Elephas maximus indicus: one gene and its partners. The protein of the gene in region 1 interacts with the protein of each later gene in a biochemical or structural test. Links are inferred from orthologs where the notes say so. Each region holds a gene or a part of one and is shown on either strand. Other genes may lie near its edges.

Region 1 (7,762 bases):
AAAATGCAACCCGGCGCATTTCTACCCTTCCACCCTGGGGGCGAGGCAGCAGAGGGTGCTCAGCCCCCTCCCCAGGGCCCTCCGCTGTTCTTTCTAGAGCCTTCGGAGAGACGCCCCTCGCCCAGCCACTGTCGGGGCAGCGAGCGGCCTTCGCTGGTCCCCGCCTAGTCCCGGGGCCACCCTGAAAGCAGCTCCTGCCCGCAGCGCTCCCACGCCTAACCCCGGAGGAGTCGATGCAGCTGCTAGAGCGCGCAGCTGTGCCCAGGGCAGTCGTCTCGTCAATAAACCCCGCCTGGTTTCCGCGCCCCTGCGTGTGACCATTTTTCTCCGCGCTGTGAACTTTGTCATCTAGGTCTGGGGCAGAAGCAGCCGCTCCCACGCCCTGGCAAATGTCAGAAGCCCCTTCTCTGGCTGCAGGAAGCCCCAACCACCCAGCGGCCGAGATCCACATATCCTGAGGGGGGGCAAGGGAGGGGCAGGGACGCTGCCGGAAACTGGGCTCCTTCTTCTGCCAGTGCTGCTTCCTGTTCAGGGGTTGGGGTCCCCAGGCCAGGTGCCAGGGTATCCGGGGGAGAGTTGGCCCCACGTGGAGAGGAGCAAGACAGACCCTGGGCCCTACTGCCATCCACTGAGGTGTACCGGAGGAGAAGGTGGGAACTCATACCGCTGAGCCGGACCCCCTCACCCACAGCTCCCAGCTGCCTTACAGCTCCGACCTCAAGCCCAGGCAGCCCAACCAGACTTTCCTGCTCTCTCCTGCGTTCATTTCATAGCTGGCTCTCTATGCCTCCCCTCCACCCCCCGCGACCCGCTCTCCTCATTCACTATGGTTTCCTCCTTCGCGACCCCTCCCCCCCCGGTTCGTATATCCTCCTGAATTGTCTCCTCCCCCCACAGGGTTTCAGCTCCAGCCTGCCTCAAGCGTCTGGGCCCCTCCCCCCCTCCTCCCTCTTTAACCGTCTTAAATCTGGCTTCTGACTCCACCCAACTGTCCTGGACCTCGAACTGCCCGGGTCACGGTGCCCAGATTTCAGGGGGCATTGAGGTACTCCAGCCTAGAGAGGTTGGTGCCAGGTGCAGGGGGGGCAGAGAGGATTAGGGGCCAGGCAGAGGTCCCTTTGTGCCCCATGACACCCCATATGGCCCTGAAGCCCAACTAGTCTTAGGGAGCCGGTCTCACCCCAATTTCCAGCCCTAGGACGGGACCCAGGACAGCCCTTGGACGGTGCAATCCCGCCCAGAGCCGAAAGGTGGCGCTGCGCGGTTGCTGTTCCCGGAGACGGCGGTGGGAGGGGCTAGGGGCGGGGCCAGAGCGGGTGGGCGAGGCAGGGCTACCCAGGCCACCTTGGCCGCTGGTCCCCTCTACCCTAGCGCCGCTTCTGCCTCTTTTCTGACCCTCCTCTCTGTTTGGTCCTTGCTGCATCTCCCTTTCTCTCTCTCGTCTCTGTTAATACCATCGCGTTGGCCCCGCCTGCTCCAATTTCGGGCTCTAAAAAGTGCCCCAGGGCCCGGGGTAGTCTGATGAAGGAGGCCCTAAACAAGGCTTGGTTATTCTACTGGGGCCATTAGTTCCCATCGGGGCGGCAGCGCCCTTCGGGAAGCTCTGGGGCATTTATTGGGGCGTCAAACTAATGGCTCCGCTCTCCAGCCAGGGCCCCCAACCCTCTTCAGGCAGTGACCAGGCCTCTGCCCACCCCGCAGCCACACCCGAGTCCCCACCCGGGCCTCAGGCTCCGCTCCATTGCTGGGCGGGCAGTTGCAAAAGGGATGTAGGTTCAATGCTCAGAGGAAAGTTCCCTGCCCCAGGATTGGAGGGCCTACGGTCCAGCACAGGGGCAGACTTCACTGCAGGTGGATCCTCCCAAAGCCCAGAGGAGGGAAGGGACAGAAACATGTGACAGCTTGGGCATGCAGGTGGCAGGGTGGTGTGGGTGGATGGTCAACAACAAGGTCTCTGACCACCTCTCACCTGACCCTCTTTCTGCCTGCTGCTGGCCTGGGGGGCTAGGCCACACTCTCTCACAGCCAGCAAAGTAGAGCCCACTTTCTGCAGGATCCCTGCCCCATGGCCAGATGGCGCTGACCCAGGGTCTCCCAGCCCTCTCCCTTGCCCCATGCCCTGCAACCCCAAAGAGCTGCGGCCCCTCAGCACCTGAGTTCATACTGTTCCCTTTCTCTGCTGCCACCACAGTGGACCACTGTGCCTAGGGACAGCCCCGGAGCAAGGCTGGGGGTGGCAGCCTGGGGAGGGGTGGCCCACGAGAGCCACTGGGCCACCTTTCCTCATCTTTGCTACTGGGGGACCTCCCAGCTTACTCATCTCTCCTGCACTTAGTCCTGCTTAAAAAAAAACAAAAACAAAAAACATTGCCATCGAATCAATTCCGACTCATAGGTTTCCAAGGCTGTAAATCTTTATGGAAGCAGACTGCCACTTCTTTCTCCTGAGGAGCAGCTGGTGGGTTCGGGCACTGACCTTTTGGATAGCAGCTGAGCGCTTAACCACTGCACCACCAGGGCTCCTCTTATTCGTGCTAAAAAAACAAAAACAAAAACAAACCTGTTGCTGTGGAGTCTACACCCCTTGAAATTCTTACCCTGGTTCCTCTCTTGCTGGAGGAGCCCACCACCTTTGTTCTCCACTGCCTTTGTTACTCTGATGTTGCATTTGTTACTCCCATTTGTTACTGGGTTACTTTCCTGAGTACTTTCGCAGCTTCTTTTTTCTTTGGAGCCACCTTTGCTAAGCTAGGACTTCAGTGTTCCTTTGATACTTCCTGGGTTCCTAGCCCTCTGCTGTGACCACATGCTCCTAGTTACTGTTGTGTCCAAACTCTCCTCGCTGTTCCATCCTCTGTCTTGGCGGGTGTGTGTGTAGGGTGTGGGGGGGGGTGGGGAACAGCTGAGTACTGGGCTGCAGAAGGCCAGGGAGGGCCTCAAGTCTGGGCTATGAGAGTGTGCTCCACAGAGGGGGGTTCCCCAAGCCCCCAACCCAGGTGATTAGGTGCCCCTATCTTCCCCAGCCCCTGGCTTGGGGTCCCCCAACCATCCACCTCCCCTGCCACCACTGTGGCTCTGCAGCTACAACCTGGCAAGTCCTGGGGGTCCTGGTTGCACAGGTATGGCATATGGCAGGCCTGCACCCAGCTGCACAGCCTCCCAGGGAAGCAGTGCCAGTGAGGCTGGGCCCAGAGAGGATGAGTCACAGGCAAGGTGAGGAGACACAGCCTCTGGAGAGGCAGACAGTGGCCAGCCAGGTCTGAGCCTCTAGTAGCATTAGCTGGAACTGCAGAGGAGGCGTGAGGGAGCAACTATGCAGCCTAAGTGGCTTTTAGGGGCAACAGCTGGGGTGTGGGCACCCAGGGAGTCTTGGCCCAGGATGCTGCTCAGGGGTAGGCCCTGTGCTCAGGCAGGGCCTGGAGAGCCAAGGCCGAGGGCACTGGAAGGAGGCGAGGGAGTTGCTAGGATCAGGCTGAGTCTACTACGGCTCCCCCATGGGGAACTGGCTGGGCTGGATGTGCCTGACCCCCAGGAACCAGGTATGTGCAGGGGTCAGCAGGGATGGGGAGAGACAGGCCCGGGGGGCAGAGGGTCAGCCTGGGACTCAGCTGTCTTCCTGCCTTGGAGACTGCAAAAGGGCCCCACAGTAGAGTGTGAACTCTGGAACGTCACAACCCTAGACCCAAGCTGGTCTGGGTTTCCTGACCAGTAAAATGGCCCAGCTCCTAGGGTTGTTACAGGTAAGATGCACACAGCATCTGGTCCCCAGAGAGGCAGAACAGAAGCATAAGTGATTCTCCATAATGTTTATTGTCTGTCTGGGGGAAGTGGGGCTGGGAGGGAGGCCCGCAGGGGCCAGTTCAATGTGGAACAGCCCCTGTGCATACTGACCGCAGCTGTGTCTGAAGCACAGTGCATCCCAGGCAGGAAGAGGGTGGCACAAGACCTCTCCATGGTGTTACCCTCCCCACACCTTTTCCCAGCCAGCAACTGCAAAGACATGGTCCAGGCCTGGGGCCCCTGAGATGACACCAGTGAGGGACCCCAGCAGAGGGAGGGGTCAGGGAAGGGGGTTGTTTAACTGACACACAGCACAGATAGTACACTTCCTGGGAGGGTCAGGAGTGCCCCATCCCCTGACTAGTAGGTGTGGGGAGGGCCACAGCCATGCAGCTTTTTGAGCCCCTCTGTTGGCCTCCTGGCCCACCCTGGGCTGCAGGGGGAGCAGCTCTGGGTGAGAGAAAGGTTCAGAGACAGGAGGAGCAGGCAGCAGGGCAAGTGCTGGGGGAGAGGGTGGTGGAGACGGGAAAGCCCTTGTTTTTACCCATCGGCCCCTGTGTGGGGTCCCTGGGCCTGGGGACCGACCCTCTCTATACCCACTTCACCCACTGGAGAGCCTGCTTTGGTGCCATGCGTGCAGTACCCATTGCCATCGAGTCGATTCCAACTCAAAGCAACCCTATAGGACAGAGTAGAACTACCTCATAGAGTTTCCAAGGAGCCTGGTGCAGTTGAACTGCTGACCTTTTGGTTAGCAAGCATAGCGCTCAACCACTATGCCACAGTAGGTACTCAATAAATGATCCAGGAATAGGAGGCACTGGCGCCGAGGAGGCTGCCCAGATTGAGGCTGAGACAGTGGGAGCCTCCGAGGTCTGCCGGCCCGGCAGCCCTGCCTCTCGGTCAGCGGGGACTTCGGTCGGGGGGCGGGGGCCGACGGCAGAGGGGCGGGGACGGGGCGGGCGAGGGGCGGTACCGCAGCCTGAGTCCGAGCCGGAGTCCGAGGCAACTGGAGCGAAGCAGGGCCGCCGCCGAGATCGCCGGTCCCCGCAGCCGCCTCCTCCGCGCCGCCCCCCGCGTCCCGCATTGTGGGCGGCGGGCAGTGAGCCGAGCCCCGCGTCCCAGCGCCCTCCGCCATGGCTGGGCCCGCGCCGCTGCGGCCGCGCTTGTGCCGCCTAGTGCGCGGCGAGCTGGGCTACGGCTTCCACCTGCACGGCGAGAAGGGCCGCCGCGGGCAGTTCGTGCGGCGCGTGGAGCCCGGCTCTCCAGCCGAGGCGGCCGCGCTGCGCGCCGGGGACCGCCTGATCGAGGTCAACGGCGTCAACGTGGAAGGCGAGACGCACCACCAGGTGGGTTTCCCCTGCCGGGCCCCCTTCCCGGCGCGCCCCTGCCCCGCAAGGCCGGGGCTTGGGGCCCGGAGGGGGTCGCGCAGGCCTGCAGGGCCCGGTGGTGGTGGGGGGGAGATATGGGGACGCGCCACGGAGGCAGCGCCCGCCTCCTTCCCAGCCACCCACCGAGGAAGCTTGTCCTGCACCGTGGGGTTGGGGGGGGCATCCTGGCAGGCAGGGGCCCGCACTGCGGCTCCAGCTGCTCTGGAGGCTCATTTTGGCCTCAGCGCCCACGATGAGGGATGGTGCACCTTGGGGGGGTTTGTGAATGCCCGAAAGTAGAGACCCTGGGTGTTCTTCTATGAATGTGTGTACATACGGTTGGGTGTGTGTGTGACTGTGCAGGGCCCTGTGGGGTCACCCGTGTGTGCACACATCTGCCTGTGTGTGTACCTGGTGGGGGGGGGTCACGGTAAGGGCTAGTGGGTATATGAATACACCTGTGTGTGCCTGTATCGTTGTGTATATCTATGTGCATGTGTGTGTACCCAGCTCTGTGTATGTGTGTGTACATTCTGCACATTTGGGTGTGTGTGTGACCTGGGCTTTGAGTGTATGAACTGGTCTGAATATGCGTGTGTGTGTATAAGTATGTATGTGTGTGCACTTGGTTGTGTCTGTATGTGTGTTCAAGTCTACATCTGGGTGTATGTGAGCTGGGCTGTGTGTGTCTGTGCGCATACAAGTCTGTATCTGGGGGTGTGTCTGAGCTGGGCTGTGGGTGTGAGCTGGGCTGAGTGTGTCTGTGTACATACAGGTTTACTTCTGGGTGTTTGTGAGCTGGCCAGCCCCTGGGCCCAGAGACAAACAAGTGGGTTCTTGGCTGGGCCAGGAGCTGAACTGCTTCTACCTCAGGGCCCTTTTCTGTCCATCTGTCTGCTGTCCTGACTTCCAGCCAGAGTGTCAAATGGATAAGGCTGTTTGCTGAAGGAGGGTGGGCATCAGAGGCTGGAGGGTTTGGCCTGACAAGCTGGAGGGCAGGGTAGCTAGCAGAGCTGGTGGCTGGCCTCTGTTTACCAGCTGCCACCACCCTCACCCCAAGACTGCCAGCTTATCGCAGGCCTTCCAGGGTGCTAATCTCTAAGAACACCCCCCACAGAACGAGGGACCCTTCCAACTGCCCTCCGAGGCGCAGGAGTGGGGGAGGTGCTGTGATGGTTCCCCTTTTACAGATGAAGAGACTGATGCTTGCAGGTGTGGGTGTCTCGTCCAGGTCACACAGGGAGCAGCAGGGTCTTGGGGTACCAGCAGCTCTCTAGATCATGGGGAGAAAGGAGGGAGAAGATGGGCCTGGGCCAGACCCTCCTATCTGTTGACAACATTGCCCAGCAGCTGAGGGAGAGGCCCTCCACCCTCCCCAGGACATGTGGCCTGGGTGGGGTTGTGGCCCCATTTTGTAGTGGACACTGGGCCTTCCCCCTGTGGCCACACCCTGGCGTACACACCCCATGCTGCCCACATGCCCCAGGCTCGTACACAGGCATGCACACAGGCCCACACTCAGCCACAACACCACACCTGGCCCACAGGTGGATCTGCCTCTCCCTGCATCCACCTGCCGGGGCTGATCTCTGACCAGACACCATGTGTGTGGTGTCTGAGCCTCGCCCAGATGGGAGTGGGGACCTTGTCACCTCTCTGCAGCCTTCAAGAACAGATCCAAGTTCTTGGTTTGGAGGTGAACAGAGACCTAGAGGCAGGCAGAGACTTAGATGCCCACTTTCCACAGCCAAGAAAGACAGAAATGGGCACAGATGCACCCAGACAGGGGCCCAGGAGACACCTTTTCCTCTCTCCTACCCAAACTGTGAGACAGACCCCAAGACAGATGATCGCACGCATGTGAACACACACACATGCACGTGTACATGCACACATATACAGATGTGCACCAGCTCTCACCCCCAGACTGACTCATGCAGCTGGCTGCCCCCTGCAGCCTCCTCCTGCTAGGACCCTGCGGCCCTTGCAGCCTGGGCCAAGGTGCTGGGAGTCCTGGGAGAAGAAGGGAGGGCACTGCTAGAGCTGGGGGTGGGGGGTGGGGCCACGGGCCTCTAGGTCCAGCCACCCACCCCCTCTGGCCCAGCCAGCCCTGGGTGGTCTTGCCGTCCATGTGTGGCCCCAGGGTGTTGACTGCTGACCTAGTCCCACCATCCACCTGTCCCAGGTGGTACAGAGGATCAAGGCCGTGGAGGGGCAGACGCAGCTGCTGGTGGTGGACAAGGAGACGGATGAGGAGCTGCGCCGGCGGCAGCTTACCTGCACGGAGGAGATGGCCCAGCAGGGGCTGCCACCCACCCACGACCCCTGGGAGCCGAAGCAAGACTGGGTGGCTGCAGGCAATCTGGGCTCCGAGGCTGGCGGGAAGGTATGGTGGGCTCTGCCCACAGGATTTGCCTCGGCCTCTTGTCTGCACCTCTGCTTCTGGTCACGCCTGAGGCCTCCTCCTGGGGCTTTTCAGCCTCTCAGGGCCCCTGGCTTCTTCTCCTGGTGATCTCCGTGTTGGCCACTCAGGCCCACTCTTCCTGCCCTCTGCCTGTGTTCTAAACTGGGTGAGGTCGGGGCAGCATGGCCCCTGTGTCACTGTCCCCCTG
Region 2 (7,487 bases), on another chromosome or scaffold:
TCTTTGGGAAAGGTTGAATTATATATAGGGCACCTTAGGGCTTCAGGCAGATAGTTGTCTGGTAGACTGATGTAATGAGTACAAATAGGCAAGAAAACAGCCCACAAACCCCAGAAGAGTCAGCTTCACCACTTCCCTGGCCCCTAATCTTTCCACAGACACTGGAGGGGAGGCCAGGAGCTCTCTCCCTATGGCTGTCTCCCCTGGCTTCCCTAAGTCAGCAGCCATGGCTTCTCCCCACGACTCCCGCAGCACCTTCTGGGCCCTTCTGTTATCTGTGAGCACAGCTCATAAGTTCCCAGAAGACAGGCACATTGTCCAGTCACCTCTGTGTCCACCAAAGCTCTAAAGTCACAAAGGGTGATGCCTTGTCCACACGAACGAACAGATGACTGAAATTGTTTCTTCTTTCCTTGGCCTTGTATAATCTGCTAATGTAGGATGTCTGTTGCCCTGAGAAGTGCCCCCCCACAAAAAAACAGCTTTTTGCAGGAGTCCTGGGAGGTGACTCACACGTGCTCAAGATCAAGGCTCGAGTTGCCATGGGGCACCTTACAGTTGATTCCTTTTTCCTGGCCCGGCACCCCCATGGTGATGGCACAGCCACAGAGCACCCCTACATGTTCCCCTGGGGCTACCAAGAACCACAGAAGTCCCTTGCTGTGCCGGGGTGTGGCCAAGTGAGCAAAGGAGACACTTCTCATTTTTGGAGTGTTGATACACAGGAGAATGACCAGGACTACAGCGCCAGGACTAAGACTCCTCCCACCTCCATGGGGGCTGTGTTCAGGGCAAAGCTGAGTGGCCCCCTCCACCCTGTGCTCAGAATCCCCTTCCATTCTAAAGACCAAAGGTCGCTACCTGATGAAGCTGGTCTGGCTGATTCTCTTCCCTCAGGTAGCCCTCCCCACCAGAGGGCTAAAATCTCCCTGGCAGCCAATAGACCTCCAAGGACCACCCACAGGGCCTCAGTTAGCCCAACCTTCCTAAACTCCACGGAGAACAAAGTTTCAGCTGGAACCCCCTCTTCCCACCTCCCCTCCCCCAAAAGAAGGAAGGGATGAGTGAGCAGCCTGCTCATCCCTGCTTTTCTGGTTTGGGGAGGAGGTCTGGAATGGGGTTGGCAGTGTGTTGGGCCCAAGAGTCATGCTGGTGACTTTTGGAAAGCTGGAATGAAGGGCTCAAGAGGGACTCCTAGTTCCACATTGCAGCAGTATTGGCCTGCAGTTTTCTAGGGTTTTCCTTTCAGTGTCTCTGACACTTCGTTCCAGATCCCTGGTTACCTCATATTTGTTCCCATGAAATCAGAAGTTGAGACACATAATACATACATTCACAGGTAGCCAACTGGTCCCTCTGTGCTTACCAAGTGCTGGGGGGAAGGGCGGGAGGGGTGGGCAGGCAGCAAATCCCCCCTGCACGGATGCTGGGCAGGTCCCTTTGCCCAAGCTCACATATTCATGAGATCAGCTTCTTGACTCCAGCACACAAACCCCGGCCCTGGAAATTGCCAGCTTCCTCAATTGTAGAGTACAAGTGCCATGGGCCAGGCCACGACCTTGAGGGTTGTGCCTTCAGCCACATTAGCTAATGTGAGCAGGTTTTTCTGCCTTGGTGACCCGCCTCCCTCCCCAGCCCCTTTTCTCACCGAGTCCCTGGGAGATCCATCCACAGCAAGGACATGGGACAGTTCTTGGTACCTACAGTGCCTGCAGGACACACCACCAGCCCCAGGCATCCCCAGACTGCTCAAGAACTCACACTCTGTAGAGCAAACCTTATGGTCCTGGGTAATGAACATTTCATTCAGGGGAGGGAGCGTGCTGTAGAATAATGGCCCTGGATTTCAGGGTGATAGCCTCAGGGAGCTTGGGAAGTAGGAAAAACACTGAACTTGGAGTCAGAAAATCCAGGTTTGAGGCCTGTCCCTGGCACTTCCTAGCAATATGACCTTGGGTTAGTTGCATAACCTCTCCAAGTCTCAGCGTCCTAGATTAAAACAGGGACAGACTACCTTTGCCTTGCACAACAGTGTGTGAAAGTGCCTTGCAACTGCCAAATGCTAAATAAACATTGCTTGCGATTATAATTTTTATGCATAATACTAAAATCAAATATTACCAGGTACTAGGAAATCCTTGTTTTAATTCTAAGCCTATCACCCATGCACAGTGGTGACAACATCATGCTTCCCCCTAGCTGTAACAGGGAGGTAACGAAACTTGTCTACGGTGGCTCCTGCCATCATGAGGGCTACAGGGTGGCGAAGCTGGGTGGCTGGGATGCTCTTTGAGGGTTGGAGAGCACTCACATGGTCTGACCTGGGCTTGGGCTGAGATGCATCCACCCTTAGGCAAAAGAATCCCAACACTGAGCTAAGTAAACTCTATGAGGCGCTTTGTTACAGCTTCCTCCTGGCCCTTTGCGAGGCACTTTCATGAACATTTGGTCTTACCTGATCAGTGAAACAAAGGAAAGTACCCTAGAGAAGGGAGGGGAATGACCCCAGGCCCCAGCTTCCAGTCAGGTGAATAATCCAGTCTTCTTGGCCCTGGTGTCCAGAACCAGAAGGCGTATGGGTGAAGTCCCCTCGGAGACGTCCTCCCCCACCCCCACCCCCACAGAGGTTCCCCCATCCCCTCACTGCCCGCAAAGCCGAAGCTTCTAACTTCTGTTTGGCCCGATCAGGCTGCAGCCCTAACAGCAGTTTGAATCTGGTGCCAGAATTCCGCGCATGTGCAAACTAGGATTTTGGTGCATGCACAGGACCTGAAGAGCTGTGTCCTCAAGCTGTCCTTGGGCCTGAACATCACCAACATGATTCAACATCCAGACGTCCAAATGTGGACATGGGAGGGCTAAGGGCGGAGAGTTCCGGGCACCAAACCCAACCCCCAGACACCATTAGAAATGAAATCTCCCCAACTCACCAAGACAGGGAACATGGGGTCTTTTGGCTGCTAGGCCCCATGTTGCGCCTTGTTTGCACAAACAATAAATTTCCACTTTCTGTTTCTCTTGCAACTGGTGGCGTGGCATCTCTCTTATTTCAGTCGACTAACAGGACAGGCCAAGAGCCCGTCAGGCTACACTGGCAACATGCAAGTCACAACCCCACCCCACCCCCCTTGTGCAACAGACCCCCACCTTGCCTCATCCTCCCGGGCCCGCTGAGCAGAAGCCACTAAAGGCCACCCCACCCCTCTGAGCTTTGACCACAAGTCGTGCCCTGTGAACTCTCTCAAGAGGGAGGTCCCATCTGGGCCCTTCTCACACTGGCAGCTTTGGGGCTTGGTTTTTCCCTCTGAAGAAGGGCCCTGATGCTAACAACTGCCAGGGTCTCTGGAGATGAGGAGAAAGTCATTCTCTGGTAACAGTTGCCCAAAGTGTATTTTCTGATGTTATTTAAAAGGAGGTAGGCTGGTCTTTTCCTGTGACCCTCTAGAGCTCAACCGACATCTCATGCGATTCCTCAACTCCAGCAGGTGTGTCCACCAGCAGAGGGACTTAGGACCTCTCGCTCAGAAGCTCCCATCCAGGAAGTGACAATATCCCCTGAAAGCAACTCATGCCTCTCTGACACTATAAAGTCACACTGCCAGGGTGTCAAGAAAGGGCTGGAGCAGCTGAGAAGGCATCAGCCCCTTCTAGAAAAAGCCCAAACCCTCTGTGCCTTCACTCAAGGGTGAGCTGATGTGTGTGGAGAAAAAATTTGCCCCAGGAATCTGGCACTTTGCAGGTAAAAACAAGGCTCATTCAGTCAACTTAAATAGTCTAATCCCATTGAACATGACCTTCATTATCATTCAATAGCTAAGACCAAAACCCTTCCAGTCCTCCTGTAATCCACACCTCTTGTTGGATTCGGGGATCATTGGACAATGCTCCATCATCGTTTGACTCCCTGACTTCCCATCTGGGACTCTCGCTCTAAGAGAGATAGTTATGCTGATCATGATTGCATGCCTCTTCTAGTTCCCAGCCCAGTGCTGGCTCTCACTATAAATTAATGAATTAGCATTCTCATCTAGACATAGGAAGCTAGACTCTAATCATGAGAGATGGATATTTGAGGAGATGGGCATACTGAAGATCAGATTTCTGAACTTGCAAGGCTTGGCAGAGGAAATAAGTAATGTCATCTTCTGGGATCTCAGAAGATAGCCAACTTGACCTCCATAGAGACACCCAACCATCACCACTGGCTATGTCACCTTTTTATATAAGTTGATATAAGTGTTCATTTACCTGTTACTACACTAGGTTAGAGGTCCTTGACGCAGTGAACATGCCTTTACTCATCACTGCATGCCTAGAACCTAGCACGGAGCCTATTGCATAGTAAAGGGTCAACCAATGTTTGTAAATGAGTGATTTAAAAAGGAATGAATGACTTGAGTGTAACAATAGTGAGTTAAATGGCTGCTTATGTTTGCTCTCCTCTAAATCTCAATAAAACCACCATTTTAAGGAACACATAAACCCTCAAGGATAAAAAGAACTGGAGAGGAAATAACAGCAATATTTGACAAACCAGAAAGCAGGTATACTCTACGCTTGCACAGGATAAAGCAAGGAGCCAGCACAGTGTACACCTCAGAATCCCAAAAGGGAGACATGTTGGTAGCACTGTCTGCCTCTGGCTGTGGGGGTGAAAGAGGAAGCTGAGAAAAGGAGAATTGGCTGAGAGTCTGCTTAGGAAGTACGGTAGTTAGGTCTGCAGATCCATTCCCTGTCTCAGCTTAAGCAAGAAACTTCTCCTGTCTCTTTCTGACAGTCAGCTAGAGACTTCTTCTCTGGAGGAGGTAAAACATAAGTCCTCTGGACTAAGGGACACAGGCACCATTAAGGATGAAGTTATCGTATTTCTAAAACAAGGAGGAATATGCAAGCATATCCATACTGGATGTCAAGATCCACGGCTGTCTTCTCTCACTTGATTCTGGAACGCTGGCAGCCAGACCTTGACTCCCCAAGAGGGAGGTTGAAAGAGCTGTTCCTGGGAAATTTGACTAGCCCAAAAGGAAGAACCTAAAGTTATTGATATCAGGGGTGCCTGCAGTTAAATAGCGCAGCCAGAGCTTTCTACAGAGAGCCTGATAGTTGTCAAGCCCCATCCACCTGCCCAGAGAGTCCTCTTACCAGATTACCAATATCTGAGGAAACCCATAAACCCATTGCCCTCAAGTGGATTGTGACTCACAGCGACCCTCTAGGAGAGTAGAACTGCCACATAGGGTTTCTAAGGAGCAGCTGATGGATTCGAACTGCCATCCTTTTGGTTAGCAGCTGAGCTCTTAACCACCATGCTACCAGAGCTCCATCTGAGGAAAGCCAGAGCTAAAAAACCATAAAACCAAACCCAGTGCCGTGGAGCCGATTCCAACTCATAGCAACCCTATACAACAGAGTAGAACTACCCCACAGAGTTTCCAAGGAGAACCTGGCAGATTCGAATTGCCGACCCTTTGGTTAGCAGCCGTAGCACTTAACCACTACGCCACCAGGGTTTCCCCAGAGATAAAACAAACATAAAAAAGCAACTTGGCTTTGGGAATGGTTCCTGTCCTGAGCCAGCAGAAGGTCTGGGGGCCATGACCACTGAGGTCCTTCTAGTCTCAGACCATTAAGTCTGGTCTTTTCAAGAGAATTTGGGGTCTGCATCCCACTGCTCTCCTGCTCCCTGAGGAGTTCTCTGTTGTATTCCCTGTTGGGGCAGTCATCGGTTGTAGCCAGGTACCATCTAGTTCAGATCAGGTGGACATTTGAGACTATGTTGGCATCTCCTGCCTGGAGAGGAGATGAGAGGGTAGAGGGGGTTAGAAGCTGGCAAAATGGACATGAAAAGAGAGAGTGGAGGGAGGGAGTGGGCTGCCTCATTAGGGCGAGAGCAATTGGGAGTATGTAGCAAGGTGCATACAGATTTTTGTGTGAGAGACTGACTTGATTTGTAAACTTTCACTTAAAGCACAATAAAAATTATATATATAAAAAAAGCAACTTGGTGGAATAGACAGATGCTACGCAGGAATAAAACTACAAATAGAAAGGATGTTATAAAAAAAAAAAATGACCTTTCACAGAATAAAAAAGGGGGAGGGCCCTTGGCAACTAAAATATGATAGCAGAAACAAGAAACTCCACAGAAGGGCTGAGAGAAAACGTTGAGGAAATCTACCAGAACATAGAGCAAAAATACAAAGAAGTGGAAATTAGGAGAGAAAAGATAATAAAATGAGAAATTTCTGAGGCCTAACATCCTAAGTGATCAGAATTATGGACCAAGACAATGGAGAAAGTAAGAAGGAAATCATCCAAGAAACATTGCAAAAAAAAAAGAAAAAAAAAAGATTCCCAGAAAGGCTACCTAATTCCCAACACAACAGATGAGAATCGTCCCACACCAGGTCACATCACTGCGAAGTTTCAGAACAGTAGGAACAGAGAGAAGACCCTGCTAGTTTTCAGGAAGACGAGGACACATAAGACGATCAGGAATGTAACTACCTTTGACTTCTCACCAGCATCATTGAAATGTGGAGGAAAATGAGGAAATCCCTTCAGCATTCTGAAGGAAACTGGTTTCCAATTTAAAATTCTATACCTGGCCAAGGTGTCAATCATGTAGAATAGAGATCTTTTCAGATATTCAATCTCGAAAAAATTTTAACCTCAAACGCTCTTTCTCAGGAAGTTAACTGAAGAATGTGCTCCTCCAAAATGAGAGAGTAAACCAAGGGGGAAAAAAAAAAGACATAGGATACAGGAAATCGGGAATGCAATGTGGGAGGAGCCAAGGACCCCCGCCCCCCCGCCCCCCGCAAGGCCCACTGCACCAGGCAAAGGGGCAACCAACCCAGATCAGGGGAGGGCAGAGGCGAGGGGAGCTCGCTCCAAGAAGATGACGTGAACATCTGGACATCGTGAGACGAGATTTACACTGCGGTGGAAATTCTCATTTATCTCCGTGATGAGAGCAAAGAAAACCAAGCCAACACAAAACCAAGACAGTTCCCTACTCCAGGGAAAACAAAAAGTTGTGCAGGAAAGAAAAAGTAATCTGATTTGCTACATGGATCAGCTATGAATAGAAGTTTATAGACACAATAATATTAACACTGAATATTTTTCCAACCAAAATCATGACATAACTAGTGGGAGAACAGGACACGGGAAGGGCACTCGCATGTGGGGCGGCCAGGGGTTGTGAAGGTGGGGGTGGGAGGAGAACTGAGTTCCCATATTCACTAAAAAAAAAAAAAAAATTTTTTTTTTTTTAATGGGAAGTTAATAGCTGGTGTCTAAAGCTGACTATTAGCCAAAAGGTTAGCGGTTCGATCCCACCCAGAGGCATCTTGGATCTTCCAAAAGGTCACAGCCGTGAAAACCGTATGGGGCAGTTCTACTATGCACACATAGTGTCGTCATGAGCTGGAATCGGTTCAATGACAACTAATAACAACAACAACAAAGCTGAAACATCTGAA
Region 3 (7,828 bases), on another chromosome or scaffold:
GAGGGAGCGAAGGGAGATCAGAGTTGGGGAGGCAGGAGCCGTGACAGCTGAAGATCGGCTGAGGGACAGGGCGTGGACAGGGCAGAAGCCAGGGGAGGGGGCTCCAGGAGGAGTGGGCGGGGCGGGTCATGTGGACTCACCAGGAGGGCCTTGGGGCCTGGAGTCCTGGGATGGAGGAAAAGCCATGGGAAGCCAGAGGCCTGGAAGGCTGGGGAGGGGGAAGGTGTGGGGGGGGGGGCTAGGCCAGCGAGGGGTGATTGGGGGTGGGGACAAACATGGGGGATGGGGCCGAGCACAAGGGTGGGCATGGGGGAGGCACTGGGCAGCACCAGTTGGGGGATGGGGATGTCCCAGCAGAAACCTCTGGACACAGGAGGGACAGTTGGATAGGGTTCCCGTAAGGTTCAGCAAGTGAGTTTTCAACAAATCCTGAATGTACCAAAGCTGGCTCCTCCACAAAGGCCAGGAGATTGTCGGGGGTAGGGGAACAGGCCTGTGGTCAGGGCCTCCTCAGGGGGCCAAGGGCATTCCAGGGGAAGCTTGGCCAGCCCCACGTGGGTCTTCTCCCCAGATCCCCCCATGTTGTCCTTAGAGCCCCTCAAGCCACCCCCAGCACTTAGCTCTTGCCCCCTCGAGTGGGTGCCAACCATCTGGGTAAAACAACAACAACTGGGAAGGGGCTCTTGTTTTGGAGAATCTTGTTAACCGGGAGGTCTGTCCCTGGGCCAGGGCTGGCGGCCCCTCACCTTGGAGAAGGTGATTCTCTTACCAACAGGGGATTGGGGTGCCAAGGGCAGCTGGGGCCTGCACCCCAGCACTCCAGAACCCTAGACAGACGTCCATGGGTGCTCCTGGGAAAAAGTACATGTCGCCAGTGACCCCTCACAGCATCCCCCAGCTGACCTGCAGGGCACTCAGGCACAGTCCTTCACCAGGTCCCACACCAGTACACTGGGGCTGAACCAAAAGTGGCCCCATTTTCTGCAGAAAGTACATGCTCACTTTACAGAAAAGGGGTGTTTTGTACCCCTAGCACTAACCCCAGAGGGTGTGGGTCCCCTTGTCCATGGGTGTCTGGTGGAGGAACTGTGGGGCTGTTAAAGAGCATTTCCTGTTGTTATGGGACACTCTGCTCTGGGTTCGAGCCACTGGAGGTCAGGCGGTGGAGAGGCCTCCAGGTGCTCATGGGAGGGGTGCCCGGGAAAGTCCTAGAGATGGGAAAGAAAGAGGCCTTCATAGTGCACGGAGCACTTCCCACGAGGCCCCCGGGAAGCTGCCCATGCCATGTCCTCACTGTGGTTTTACAGAGGGAGAGAAGGTAGCCCCCACAAGGGTCAGTTCAGGGGACAGCAGCGTGATCATCAGGACAGGGTGGGGTGAAGAGGTTGACCCTTCAGTCCTTCGGATTAAATGATTCCCGGTGGTCAAGGTATCCATCCCAGGAGAGTGACACCATACCAGGCCCCGACCCTGGAGCTCACAGGGGCTCACACCACAGAGGGGACAGAGAGGGAAGACTGGGGCAGCCGTGTCAGGAGGCTGAAAACAGGCTGGAGAGAACGAGTGAGAGGCAGGGAGGTGGCAGCAGAGCCAGGAGGCTGAGGGAGCTATTAAGAAACAGAAAGCAGAACTGAAGAAGGGCATTTGGAAAGGCGAGATGATGTCACTGGCATAAATAGGACAGACGCCAGGCAGTGCTGAAGGGAAGTAGGGCCTAACCAGCCATCAGCCAGGTACACCAGGTATGCCCAAACCTACCAGGCCCACTGTCCTCTAACCCACCCATCTCCCCAAAGCCTGGCCCTCCCCTGTTTTCCTTTTCTTGGCGAAGGACATCATGGCCCTCCAAGGCCCCAGAGGACCCTTTTCTCTTCACCCTGCCCCTCCCTGTTCCAAAAGCACTTCTCAAAATTCCCTGAAAGCCCACTGCTATACCATTGTCTGACTTGGCCACTGGGGCCCCCAGGATCCCCCTTCAATCTGCCCCTGCCCCCCTCCACCTAGTAAATTACAAACCCCCTCACACCACTGCCAAGTAGGACCCCCCCCCCAGTGTTGGTCACCAGTTGGAATTTTGATCCTATAAGCTCTGAAGAGAGCTGACCTTACCCAGGAGTTCATGTGAACCCCACTTTACCAATACACGAGGCCATGAAAGTAAGAGACCGACCAGTTTACAGAAGAGAAAGAAGACGTTCCGTAGGAAAACCGTTCCTGCAAGGAGGATTTTATTGGGGTTTCTATTTTTAATAGCATGTTTTTTCTTCTTTTCTGCACTGGAAACAAACAAAAATGTCATTTCAATATCAGACCGCAAGGACGCTTCCTGGCTCCGTGCACTAAAAAGCCAAGTAGACCAACAGAAAATACGGCGACCAGGAGCCCTGAAGCGCGAGGAGCCTGGGATGCTCCAGGCGCGGAACTGCGCAGACGCTAGGCGCCCAAGACCGACTGCGGAGAGCCGGCGACGTCGGAGGTGCACCGGGCCCAGTGAGGGAGGGGGCGACCAGTAGCGATCTGCACGGCCACTCCAAACCTCGCCCTGCCTGCTCCAAGAGCCCGACTCCTGAGCCCGGCTGCGGCGCACCTCCGACCCGACCGCGGCGGCCAGCGACGCTGGGAGCGCGCATCTCTCAGGGAAGCCGGCGGACGCGGCAGGGGCTGGGAGGCAAATTCGAACGCTGGCGCCCAGCTCTGTCCGCTGCGTGCCCAGCAGGCAGTTGGTCGGTCCCTGTCCGTCCGTCCGCCGGGTAGGGTAGCGGAGACCCTCACAAGCGGAGCGAGGAGAGTCCTCGGAAAGGGGAGCTTACCGATCTTGGCCAGGCTGGCCACGAGGATCCAGAGTGCGATGATGTACGGGTCCTGGACGTGGTGCCACTTGAAGGTGACCACCTGGAAGCCCTCGATGGAGCCCTGCGCCCCAGGCTCCTCGGCACCCCGCGCCCGCGGCAGCCCGCCCAGCGCCAGCGCCAGCAGCAGCCCCCAGCCGGGGCCCGGGACCCCGCGCACCGCCATCGCCACCGCTCAGCACCGGGTCCGCACGCGCATGTCACGGGGACGTCCTGCTGCGCTTGGCAGGACCAGCGGAGCGGAGCCGAGCGCGCTCCGGGACTGGCGGCTGTCACCTTCCCGGCCCGGCCGGGAGCCCTTTATCTGGAGGCCCCCTCCTGCGCCCGGGGCGGGACCTTCCCGCCCATGCAGTGCACACGCAGGGCGGACACCGCACCGCCCTCGGCCGTCAGCCCCGCCCCTCACTCTCACCTCGCTCCCCCCCTCCCCGTCCGGCCTGCGCGCGCCCGCCCAAGTCCCCCGTCGCCCGCCCCCGGAGCTGGAGGCAGGGACAGCGCGGGCCCGAGGCCCGCAGGCCGGGCGGTGAGGGGCGAGCTGGGCAGGAGCCGCGGGGACTAGGGGGCCGCCTCCGCTGGGGTCAGAGCGCAGCTGCGTGTGTAACGGGTCCGGCCGGACCGGGGTCGCTGCGACCTAGGCTGCCGAGCGAGGGGGCGCCCCTCGGGGACTTAGCTCAGCCCGGGGCATCCCTGGGCACACTCGCCCAAGACGCTCCGCCTCCGTCGCCGCGGCGGGAACTCCTGGACACAGTCCCACGAGAGGCTCGAGGGTGAAGCGTCCAGAAGGATGCTGGTCGCAAGTCGCGCGCTTTATCTTAAACACGACAACCCTAACGCATGTCTCAGAACACCGTCCACCAACTTCTCAAAAACGAAGGGCCACCACCCAGACTTGGATGGTGCAGCAGCGACTCCCTCTGCCCCGCCTCGCGGACGGCCACCCCAGCCTGGCCCCTCTGAGGGTCCCTCCTGGGGCCGCCGGCGCACCCCACCTGCCCAAACCCCGAGCACCACGAGTCGAGTCCTCTCCACCCGGGCACACCCCGGCGGAGACCCACCTGAGCCCCGTGCTGCTCCACTCGCAGCCCCGTTGGCCTCGCAGGCCAGTCCCGCTCCTCACCTCCCTAGGCCGACCGGCCAGGGCAGGGCAGCTTGTCCCGCCAGCTGTCCCGCCCCAATGTGGAGGCCTGCTGGACCTGTCCTCTTTTCTCACGCTGCGTTCTAATCCTCGACATTCCTCAGTACAGGTCTAAAACCCGACCCCTGCTCACCACCCCGGTCAGCGGGCAAAGGCCTCCGGGCTGTGCCCCCTTCCTCCTGCCCCCCTCCAAGTGGTCCCATCGGCACTGTGAACCTTGCAACTCAGAGCAAAGCCCATATCCTGTCCTTCCCTGACGCCAAGCCCTCCCAGATCAGCCCCTCTGGCCTCCTCCCCACCCCCAGCCCCCAGCTCACCCCATACTCCCCATTGGGGCCTTTGCCGGTGCTTTTCCCTCTCTGGGAAGGCCCTTCCTTTCTATGGCTCAGTTTAAACACTCCAGCCCCTCCCTGCTTCTTTCCCTCCACAGCAGGCTCTCCTCCTGAGGTGCCGTTGCTCCAACTCTCCTTACTGTCCCCCTTCTCCATGTCCCTGCCCGAGGGGGGTTCCGTGGGGACTCTCTGCTATCTCCCCAATGCCTAGAGCAGTGCATGGCACACAGCGCATGCTGGAAAGGTTTGTGGATGGCTGCCTGGCTGGCTGGCTGGTTGGCTGGAGGGAGGGAAGCAGGGGGAGAGTGATGGGGTGGATACAACCTCTAAAATTTGAGTATGAGAAGGGGCTACCAGGCCCCAAGAAGGGCAGTGCTGGCCCAGATGACTGTTCTTGCACTCATGCTGAGGGGAGGTGGAAGTGTATAGAGAGGATGGATTCAGGTGGGGGATGGGTGGCTGGGCACTGGGTGAAGCTGGTGACTATTTGGGAGGATGCCACAGACAGGCTCAGTCTTCACGGGCGTCCTCGGAGTCTCTTCCAGCTGCAGAACCTCTGCTGGGGCCCCAGGGTCCCTGGCAGCTGCCAGGAACCCGGCCTTGTAGAAGGAAAGTGAGGCTAACTGGAGCACCCAGGAAGCAGCCCTTCCTGGAAGCTAAGCACAGGGTCCCTGGGTGCTAGGGAAGCATGGCGTGGCATGGCTGTGGAGGGCTGCCCAGCCCACAAGTGTCCATGCTGAACCTGCCTCTGCCTGGCTCCGTTCTCTGCCTCCTGTCCCAGAGAAACAGCCACCAGACATCCAGGGGCAGAGCAGGGTCACCTCCAGCCCCGACACACTTCCCTGCTCTTTCTGACCATTTCTGGGCAAAGCCTTGGAGGAATGTCCTCTTTGAAGATGCTGTCTTGGAATTCCACAGGAAGGCCCAATTCTCAGAAGTGTGTGCTGAGACACCAGTGATCCTCCGGTCCCACCACCACCCACCGGGCTTCTTTTCTACTAAGTCAACCTGTCCTGAGCTCCTTGGCCCTCCTCCCGGGAGGGGCTACTTCTGAGAGTCCCCTGAAGCAGTTCAAAGGGCAGAGGAGCAGCACATTGGCACGTGGATCTGTGGATTTGGAGTGGACACTGATGCAGGGCACAGGCTTCCTGAGGACAAGGGAAAGGCACACCTATGGAGGGAAGAAGGGAACAGGCCCCTAACAGCATGTGATGTGCACCTCTCTGCCCACGGCTCACCATCAGGGTGAGGAGCCAGGCTGTTTGGCAGGTTCTCTGTGCATTTGTAGAGCGGTGGGCACCCGTGCTCCAAGGTTGCTGGAAGGCTCAGGTCATGGTTGTAGGCAGGGCCACTACCTGTGTCTACAGACTGTGTGCACGGCACCCCTGGAGGTGTGTGCTGTGCAGTCCACACTGCGCTGGACACATCTAGAGGTGGGGGTGGGGGGGGGTCTTGGTAAGTGTCCTCAGGCCCCTGATGATGTGTGGTGATCTGATAGCTGCCCCAATCATTGCCACTATGGAGCCGCCTGCACACACAGGAAAGGCCATGCCTTACAACCTACATTTTGCAAATAACCAGCGCCAAAGAACTGCAACCTACCTAACCTGCTGCAAGCACCTCAAGTTCAAAATTAAGAAAACACAGGAGGGAAACACCTAGTCCATCACACTAATTTCTGGTTGTGAATTTCATTCATGTGGTTTGTGAAAATCACCTAGTGAATAAAGAGGCAAAAGGTTTAGAAGCAATTTACACTTTTTTTTTTTTTGGACAAGAACAAGGGCTGAGGTAATAACTTCACTGCCATGCTTTTAGGGGAAGGCCCTTGTCACCTGCATCTACAAAGGGTTTACTTTTAAACCCAAAGTGGCACACAGTGCCCTTATTGAGAGGGAAGGGACCCGGGTTCATCACGCTCAAAGCCAGTCATTCCACGACTCCCTTTTCTCCATCCATCCATGGGTGTCCGTGGGTGCCAGGTTCTATCTAGGCACCGAGAAAAAGTCTCTCTTGGAGCTAACCTTCAACGCCTGAACTTGAAATCACTTCTGCACACATCACCTTGATGGCATGTTCACGGGTTCTTGTTAGATTGCTAGAAGAAAACTGCGCTTCTCAAAACGAATTGTCGGCTCTGCCAGGGCCTGCCTGTCGGCCCCTTTCCCAGGGGGTGTGAGATGCCTCTGCCAAGGGCGTCCTCGGGTGGGACAGGGGGACCTGTACTTTTTGCTTCAGGGACAGGCTTCTGATCCATCCAGAACCCAGGCTTGCAGGGCAGGAGGGTCTGGCGGAGCCCTGTGGGGTTTGGGAAGGACGCCCTGAGTCAGCCCGTGGCCAGACTGGGCGGGAAGGTCTCATTCCGAGCAGGGCTTCGGACATTTCCAGCCTCTCATCTCTTACCTCGTCACCCAGGACATGCCGCCTGGACCGGCAGACCCGAGCCTCCGCCGCCACGGGGTCGCCGGACTGACACCCCGGATCCGGATCCGGGGAGGCCTGGGTCGGAGTCAGATTTCCCGAAATCGCCACCAGCCAGGTTATCCGAGGGCGGGGGCATCCAGAGCCGGAAGGGGGCCGCTCCTGGGAGGAGGCGGCGGGGCGGGGGGACCGCGGGGAGGGGTGCCGGGAGCAAGGCGGCCTGGACGGAGCCTGGGCACAGTCGCGCACAGTCCCGGTAGCCGCTCGCTGGGTCCGTCCGCGCCGGGCGGGGAGGGGGGGGCCGTGGGCGTGGAGACCTGGACAGGGACCCGGCGTGGGCAGGGCGCCGCCGCGGGTCTTGCCCCCCGCCTTCCCGCAAGAGGGGCAGTGCTCGGAACTCTGTGGGCCAGGGCGCCGCTTCCGAGCGCGGCTCCGCCCCGCTCCCCCTTCGGGAACTGCAAGGACTCCTGGCCGTGGCCTCCCATCTGCTTTTCACTTCCCGCGGGGTCTCCCGCTTCAGGTCTTTGTCTCCTTTCTGCATTCTAACGCCCCCTCCCGCCCCACCTTGACCCCGCCCCCCTCCTGCCCCTCCTTGGGTTCCGCCTCAGCCCACCGAGGCCCTGCAGACCCCCTGGCCACATCCTCGCAGCCCCAGGCACAGGCAGCCCCTCGGTGGGTCCCACTCTCCCTGGTGTCCGGACCCCTCCTCCGCCGGGTCTCCGGCTCGGCTCCTCCCTTCTAGAGTCAGGGCGCCTTCCGGAGGTCCCCTACTCAGGGCTGCACCCCAGCGCCAGGGCCGCACAACCAGCGTCTCCTTGGCATCTCTGCAAGGCCCCTAGTCTGAGAGCCTCCGACCTGCACCCCCTCCTCTCACCCCTGAAAAAGGCCCTTGTCCTCCAGGCACAGCCCGAGGCCTGTAGTCTCCCTCCTCGCATTCGCAGCGAGCCTTTCAGCAAAGACGGGTTCCCTCGCTCTACCCTAGGGCCCCGGGATCCCTGCTTACGCCCCAGCACCCAGGGCCGCCGCCGGACTCTCGTGCATTCCTCTAGACTCCCACTTGCTCCTGGGGCCTCCCTCACTGCATGCCTGGG
Region 4 (7,474 bases), on another chromosome or scaffold:
CCATTGTAAAAGAATTCAAAAGTAATTCTGGAAGGGAAAAAAAAAAAACCTATGGATTTCCAGAGATTTGTCACATATTCATTTACTTAGAGTTACTTCCATTTTCTGAGTTCTAAAACCTAAGGGTACAAGTTGGAAGTTTCCAATACAAAACCATTTCTGCTCTTTCCCCAAGGGAAAAAAGAAAAATGCAAAGATATGTTCAAATAGCCTTCCCCATGCATTCGGGTGGTGCAAATGGTTAAGGGCTCAACTACTAGCCAAAAGGTTGGCGGTTCAAACCCAGCCAGAGGCTCCTTGGAAGACAAGTAGTGATCTGCCTCCAAAAGGTCACAGCCTTGACTACCCTACGGAGCAGTTCTACCCTGCACACATGGGGTTGCCGTGAGTCCACATCAACTCCACAGGAACTAACAACAACACACGTGCAGGTGGGGCAGTGGTGGGGCAGTGGTGCGATTCTCACCTGCCCGGCGGGAGACCTGGTGACGTTGCCAGCCGATGCACACCACCACCCCTCAGTCAGTGGAGCTTCCAAGCTAGGAGGAAAGCTTGACGATCTATTTCCAAAAATCACGCAAAGAAAACCCTACAGATCGCAACTTTCTGAGCGGCAGGGATCATGAGGACTGGGCAGTGTTTCATCCTGTTGTGCATGGGGGCTGCCATGAGTCAGGGCCAAAGAAACAGCAGCGAGCAACAACAACAACCCTGGAGAAGCTACACAGTACAACAGTCACAACAGCGGCTCTGGAGCCAGACTGCCTGGCTTTGCATCCTGCTCGACGGCAGCAGCAGACCATTCCTGCAACCCTGGTGGCACAGTGGTTAAAAGCTCGGCTACTAACCAAAAGGTCAGCAATTCAAATCCATTAACTGCTCCTTGGAACCCCTATGGGGCAGTTCTACTCTATGCTTTAAGGTCACAATGAGCTGGAATTGACTCACAATCAACAGGTTGTTTTTGCTTTTTTTAAGATCGTTACTAACTCTGCGGTCCTAAGCAACTTATTCAACCTCTGTAATTCAGTATTTTCACATGTAAAATAGAGGTAACTCCCCTCCCCACACACCCAGCAGGGAAACCAGAAATGGGCACCAGTCGTTCATTATCTTCCAATTTCCTTCAACTCTTCAGTTCCGCCCTGAAAATCCACAAATCGGAAGTGCTTCAAGAGTTTATTGCCCTGCCTGAAGTTCAGGAGACCCACCGCCGTTTACCTTCAGGTTATTTATGGTAACCACACCCATATTCCTTCCTCCTGCCACCCAACAGACAAGAGGTGTCCCTGAAGACTGAATAAACTACAATTAAAACAAGAGTACAAGCACTCAATCCCTTGGGATCTCCTGGGTTTTTTCCATTAAAGGCGGGGTGGGGGGAGTTTAATCATCAGAATATGTGGAAAAGATTAAAGGGCAGAGAGATCAAGAAACAATAGGTCTAATTATCAACCGAGTGTGATTAAAACACAAAGGCTCAGGCCCACCTATTTAACAGTCACAGGCACTAGCTAGAAACCCTTCGTTAAGACGCTTCATCCCTCTGGGCACTTTGCACGTTGCTTCACCTGAGTGTTTCTTCACGAAAGAGGGAGGAGGTGACCACTAAGTGGTTTTAGGACCTAAGATTCCTTGACAGAACTACCTGCATCAGGGCCAAGGACCGCATCTCTGAGAGGTAGAGATCCCGATAACATCTCCTTCCACAAGGCCTCAGGGACTCCATCCCCAGAGTAGTCCTCACAGGTGGAAGCGAAAGCACTGGCAATAGGGAGAGGAGCTGGTCAAAGACATCCACCGGCCTTGCCTGTGGGTGTCCCAGTCAAAAGCAAAGTGTGGAAGCTGATTTTGTTCAAGGATTTCCATTCATTAAATAATTTTAAAAATGTTATTTTATCCACACGAAATTTGCCTTAACTACGTGCCACTACACATACACACATACACACACACACACACACGGAGAAAGACATGGTCATAGAGAAGACACACAGCAGGAGCTCCCGGGAGTTGGAATGCAGCTGTCACGTAAGGTACAGAGGAAAGGGTGGGGGACTTTTGGGAGATGGCTTTGGATCAGGTTAGATAAAGGATAAAGGACGCTGTCCATGAACTGGCGTTCACAAAGAGGAAAAAAGTGCGGTTTTCATGTAGGAGGACTGAGAATCCCTGCGCGGTGCGTGGGAAGCCAGCTAAAGGTGGGAATTGGGGGATTCCGGACGCTGTCCCCTGGGGAGTGAGTCCACCTTTTGCCAGTCTCAGTTCTCCGCCTCCGGCTCCTCTCCCCCGGGACCAAAGGCGGGTGGGGCCCGCGAGATCCCTCAGCAGGGCAGGGAGGCGCGCACGTGCCCTGCGCCCCAAGGTCCCCGCAGCCGCCGACCGCGCGCGCTGGGGCGCAGGCAGGCACCACGCGGCTGGCCGTGAAGGCCCATGCGGCGGCCCCACCGTGGCAAGAAGCCCCAGCGTGGACCGATGGGCACAGGCGGAAACCGCTCCGGCCACCCAACCCCATAAGGCACCGGCGGCATCAGGCACAAGCCCGGGAGGGAGCTGACGGGGACGGCAGCGGCCGAAGGACCAAGGGACGGGTGGTGGAGGGCGGGCCGGATCGCGCCCTCGGGGACCAGAGGCAGTAGGTGTCCAGTGCCGGCGGAGGCGCGGCACCCAGGGTGCTCACCAGAAGAACACGCGCGAGCAGAGGTTCGCGTCCTGCAGCGGATTGGGCTTCACCGCCTGGTACACTGGCAGCATCGTGGGGGCCGGGGGCGGGCAGGAGAGCGTCGCGGGCCGGGGTCGCGCTGTGGAGGCGGCGGTCGCGGCTACCGCAGCTCCTGGAGGCGCCGGCGGGGATGCTGCAGCTCCGGACGCCGCGCGGGTCCGCTAGGCGAGAGCCCGAGGAACACCCGCTTCCGGAAGCCGGACGCCGGCGGCACGCCCAGTCCCCGCCTCCCGGGCCGCGCGTCTTCCCGGGGCCGCCGAGTTGGGGGGGCCAGCCGCGCGCCGTCGCCTGGGGCCCGGGGACGCCGCGAGCGCGCCCGGGGGGCAGCGGGGTGGCCGGCGGAGGGGGCTGGCTGCGGGTCTCCCGCCTCCCGGGAGGGCAGGGGTGCGAGTCCCAGGGCGCAGCCGTGGGGTTCGCGCGCAGGTGGGAGGCGAGGAGGAGCGAGGCGGTGCCGCTGGATGGAGGAGGTTAGGCGGACCCCTCGGGGCGGAGAAGCCGGCGCCACCAGCCGGGCCTCGGAGGCCGGGCCAGGCCGAGGCACCCACGTGTTGGGACCTGACTGCAAACTTTGCGGTAGTTAAAGATCAGAGCCAAGGCCCCGGCACGGCAGGTAGCGAGGGAGGCGCTGGCTGCCCTCCCCCGCTTCTCGGAAGCGCCCCCTGGGCTGCAGGGCGCAGAAGAACGGGAGACAGCTGCCAGCTTTAGCAGCCGGGCCGCTGGGCGCCTTGCCTTCGTCGGGACCAAACAAGGGCGCTGTGGGAGGTTTTCCAAATCTGCCGGCCAACTTTTTGACCTTGGACAACAGCAGGGTTTAGCACAGATTCTCTTTGTTGAGCTGCAAGACTTGAAGAAATGCGGGTGGTTTAAGATTTGTTGTTGTTAGGTTCCCGCCCGTCAATTAGGAAAATGAATAAATGCTGTCCTTGAGGGCGGGCTTTTGAGATCTCATAAGCATTGTAGAGTGAACTTCTGGGACGTTTTTGCTACCCTCTCAGATTGGGAAAGGGAGGGTATGAGGAGAGAGACACTGTCCTAGGATTTCTTTCACCGGGTCGTCACAGCCTGGCGGAGAAACAGTGGCAAAAACAACGTACGTCATAGAGTACCGGTAATGCATATTTGTGGGTACCTTACCTCGTTTTAGCTAACAAAGACCTATTGAAGAAGGTATTATTATCCTTTTACAAATGAGGAAGGCGAGGCTCAAAAAGACAACCGCTCCAAGGTCTAAAAAAGAAGTCGTGGTTGAATTCCGAGTCATGGCGGTCCGTGTGTTAGGGAGTAGAACTGCTCCACAGGGTTTTCTTGGCCGCCGTCTTCCGTGAAGCAGATCACCAGGCCTTTTTTCTGAGGCACCACTGGATGGGCTCCAACGCCAATCTTTCAGGTTAGTAATTGAGGGCAAACCATTAGAGCCACCGAGCGACCTTAAAAGGCCTCAAGAGTCAGTAAATGAGGAAACCCAATTTAGACTCAAGTCTGAGTCTCAGCTTGGTCACACGCACGGGTGGATGATCGGTGTGGACAACAAGTGCCCAGAATACACTGCTTGAATGAATGAGTGTAGGCATGAATGAACAAAATCATATCCCAGCTTTTGAACTCCCACCCATAAACCAAAAACCAACCCCGTTGCCATTAAGTCAATTCTGACTCCTAGTGACTATAGGCTTTCCAAGGCCATAAATCTCCACAGAAGCAAACTGCCACACCTTTCTCCCACGGAGTGGCTGGCAACCGCAGACCTTTCAGTTAGCAGTCAATTGCTTTAACCACTGCGCCGCCAGGGCTCCTTTCCCACTCTTACGTCTTAAGTTATTTATGTCCCCACCTAACCTCTTTAACCCCAATGAAGAAAAATCACGTTATAAGTTCATGGTGCTTAAAGCAAGATCATTTTATTATTCAAAAATTTTCCATGTACCTTTATTAAAATAATCTTATTAATAATGGTTTTTAAAGGAGGCCATAGAGTATGCAAACATTTTTTAAAAGTTGTATAAGGATGACAAAATGTTGATAATTTTTGAAGCAGATGATGGGTGACCAAAAAAAACCAAACCCGTTGCTGTCAAGTTGATTCCGATTCATAGCGACCCTACAGGACAGAGTAGAACTGCCCCATAGAGTTTCCAAGGAGCATCTGGTGGATTCGAACTGCTAACCTTCTGGTTAGCGGCCATAGCACTTAACCATTACACCACCAGGGTTTCCAGATGATGTGCATGTTATTTGTGTAACAATATGGTAAATGAAATGTCCAGGACAGACAAATCTATAGAGATGAATGTAGATTAGTGGCTGCCTGGGGCTGGGGAAGAGGAGCAATTGGGGGAAGGGAGAGCGACCACTAATGGGTACAGGACTTCTTTTGGGGGAGATCAAAGTGTTCTAAAATTAGATTATGGTGATGGTTGCACAACCCTGACTGCTAAAAAAAAAATGCTTTAAATGACTTTATTGATTTATGTGAATTATATTTCAATAAAGCAGTTTAAAAATGTCAAGGTTCAATAAATTTTAGATGTTCGTATTATACCTACTGTCTTAGTCATCTAGTGCTGCCGTCACAGAAATACCACACATGGATGGCTCTAACAAAGAAGTTTATCCTCTCACAGTCCAGTGGGCTACAAGTCCGAATTCAGGGTGCCAGCTCTAGGAGAAGGCTTTCTCTCTCTGTCAGCTCTGGAGGAAGGTCCTTGTCATCAGTCTTCCCTTGGTCTGGGAGCATCTTAGTGCAGAAACCTCAGGTCCAGAGGATGTGCCCTGCTCCCCGCGGCGCTGCTTTCTTGGTAGTATGAGGTCCCCAGCTCTCTGCTAGCTTCCCTTTCATCTCTTGAAACATAAGAGGTGGTATAGGCCACACCCCAGGGAAACTCCCTTTACATTGGATCAGGGATGTGACCTTAGTAAGGGTGGTGTTACAATCCCACCCTAATCCTCTTTAATGTAAAATTACAATCACAAAATGGAGGATAACCACAGAATACTGGGAATCATGGGCTAACCAAGTTAATACATACGTTTCTGGGTCAATCCATGACACCTACTGTATGCCACCTGTTGACATTTAGATGAATAAACGCAACATCTGCCCTTGCATTGCTCACAATGTTCTGTTTCATTTGTTTTGGGGAGTGGCCTGGGCATTGGTACTTTCTAAAAGCTCCTAGGTGATTCTAGGTGAATTAGGTAATTCAGCATCCAGGACTGAGGTGCGGAGAGAGATGTGCACACAGCAGCCATCGTCCAGTATGAGTATTACATTAAATGAATGCATGGGATGCTGGAGAAAGGGGAGGAAGGTGGCTAGGGCAGTTAGAGGAAGTGGCGTCTAAAACAGGTCTTGAAGAATCAGAACATCACCTGGTGGGCACGAGTCAAGAGGGTTGAGGACGTAGTCCCACATAGAGGGAAAGGCCCAAGCAAGGCACAAAGAGAGAATGCTACCTTGTCTGACAGTCAAAGACACAATGTTAGAAAGGGTACCGGAGCTTACGCTGGAGCCCGGTGGCACAGTGGTTAAGAGTTTGAAATAACAGGTTACAATTCAAGCTGAAGAACACTGAGGGTACAGGTCTTCCATCAGGACAGCCTCTTTTTAGCTGTGCTCGCAGGCACACCTCTCTCTGCCCCTAGGCCTCTGCCCTGCTCCGGCAAGTGTTACAAAGCTCTCTTAGCTCTGCCAGTAAGCACCCAGAGGCACTCTACTCTGCCAGCAAGGCTCCTCCCCAAAGGCACTCAGCTTTCTCACTCCTTCTGGGCTCTTGCCACCGTTTCTCTGCCACTGCTTCTCTCTCTGTCTCGTGGTTCCAGGAGCTTCTCAGCACAGGGATCTCGAGTCCAAAGGTCATGCTGTCTGCCCCTGGCTGTTCTTCCTTGGTGGTGGTGGGATCCTCTTTTCTGGAATTGGCTGTCTTTTTAAGCCCAGTGGGATGCCAAAACTGATCAATCCCTTTGATGAGTTAAAATTACCCTATTCGCATAGTCCTGCCCAGTCACCTGGGACCATGGTGAGAAAGGCCACACACAATCCATCACACCAAAGCTGCTAACCAAAAGCTAAAAAGTTGGTGGTTTGAATCCACCAACAGCTCCTCGGAAACCCTGTGGGGAGTTGACAGCAACAGGTTTTTTTGGGTTTTTTTTTAGAGCAATGAAGTCTCTGCCTCCAGTGAGTTCACTATCTAGAAAAAGAACAGATAAAATTACAGGCAAATTAAAACATCCATTTTACCGATCAAGTTTGGAAAGATTTTTTTTTTTTTAACATACTGTTGCTGTTAGGTGCCCTCAAATCAGTTCTGATGCATAGCAACCCCATGCACAACAGAACAAAACACTGCCTGGTTTGGTTTTTTTTTTTTGTGTGTGTGTTTCTGAGAGGCTAGTAAATTGAAGACAGAAGAGCAACCATTGGATTTGGCAAGGTGGCGGCGGGGGGGAGTCTTTGGTGAATTAACCAAGGCAGTATTTTAAAGAGCAACCCCATTGCCATAAGTTGATTCCAGCTCATAGCGACCCCATAGGGTTTCCAAGGCTGTAAATCTCTGTGGAAGCAGACTGCCACATCTTTCTCCCATGGAGCCGCTGGTGGTTTCGAACCACTGATCTTTCGGTTGGCACCCGAGAGCCTTAACCACTGCACCACTAGCTCTCTTTATTTTAAAGAGGGGGATATAGAAACCCTATCCAAGTGTGTCGAGGAGAGAATGGCATGTGAAGATGTAGAGACAGTGATTAAACACA

The links.
Region 2: the proteins of NHERF2 (region 1) and KCNJ1 form a complex in vitro, tested with the Homo sapiens proteins (2 studies listed by BioGRID and IntAct, with this or other methods). The link is inferred for Elephas maximus indicus from reciprocal best matches to the Homo sapiens genes NHERF2 and KCNJ1.
Region 3: the proteins of NHERF2 (region 1) and SLC9A3 form a complex in vitro, tested with the Homo sapiens proteins (2 studies listed by BioGRID and IntAct, with this or other methods). The link is inferred for Elephas maximus indicus from reciprocal best matches to the Homo sapiens genes NHERF2 and SLC9A3.
Region 4: the proteins of NHERF2 (region 1) and ABCC4 form a complex in vitro, tested with the Homo sapiens proteins (2 studies listed by BioGRID and IntAct, with this or other methods). The link is inferred for Elephas maximus indicus from reciprocal best matches to the Homo sapiens genes NHERF2 and ABCC4.

What each region holds. Positions count from the first base shown.
Region 1 is NC_064830.1:59,124,217-59,131,978, forward strand, and holds the start of NHERF2 (Na(+)/H(+) exchange regulatory cofactor NHE-RF2), read left to right. Parts: upstream 1-4,753; 5' UTR 4,754-4,916; coding exon 4,917-5,129; intron 5,130-7,335; coding exon 7,336-7,536; intron 7,537-7,666; exon of another isoform or gene 7,667-7,762.
Region 2 is NC_064835.1:32,677,859-32,685,345, forward strand, and holds the start of KCNJ1 (ATP-sensitive inward rectifier potassium channel 1), read right to left. Parts: upstream 3,001-7,487; 5' UTR 2,931-3,000; intron 1-2,930. UniProt on the Homo sapiens protein: Inward rectifier potassium channels are characterized by a greater tendency to allow potassium to flow into the cell rather than out of it.
Region 3 is NC_064820.1:582,655-590,482, forward strand, and holds the start of SLC9A3 (sodium/hydrogen exchanger 3), read right to left. Parts: upstream 3,016-7,828; coding exon 2,811-3,015; intron 1-2,810. UniProt on the Homo sapiens protein: Plasma membrane Na(+)/H(+) antiporter. Exchanges intracellular H(+) ions for extracellular Na(+) in 1:1 stoichiometry, playing a key role in salt and fluid absorption and pH homeostasis.
Region 4 is NC_064832.1:89,849,397-89,856,870, forward strand, and holds the start of ABCC4 (ATP-binding cassette sub-family C member 4), read right to left. Parts: upstream 3,011-7,474; 5' UTR 2,755-3,010; coding exon 2,681-2,754; intron 1-2,680. UniProt on the Homo sapiens protein: ATP-dependent transporter of the ATP-binding cassette (ABC) family that actively extrudes physiological compounds and xenobiotics from cells.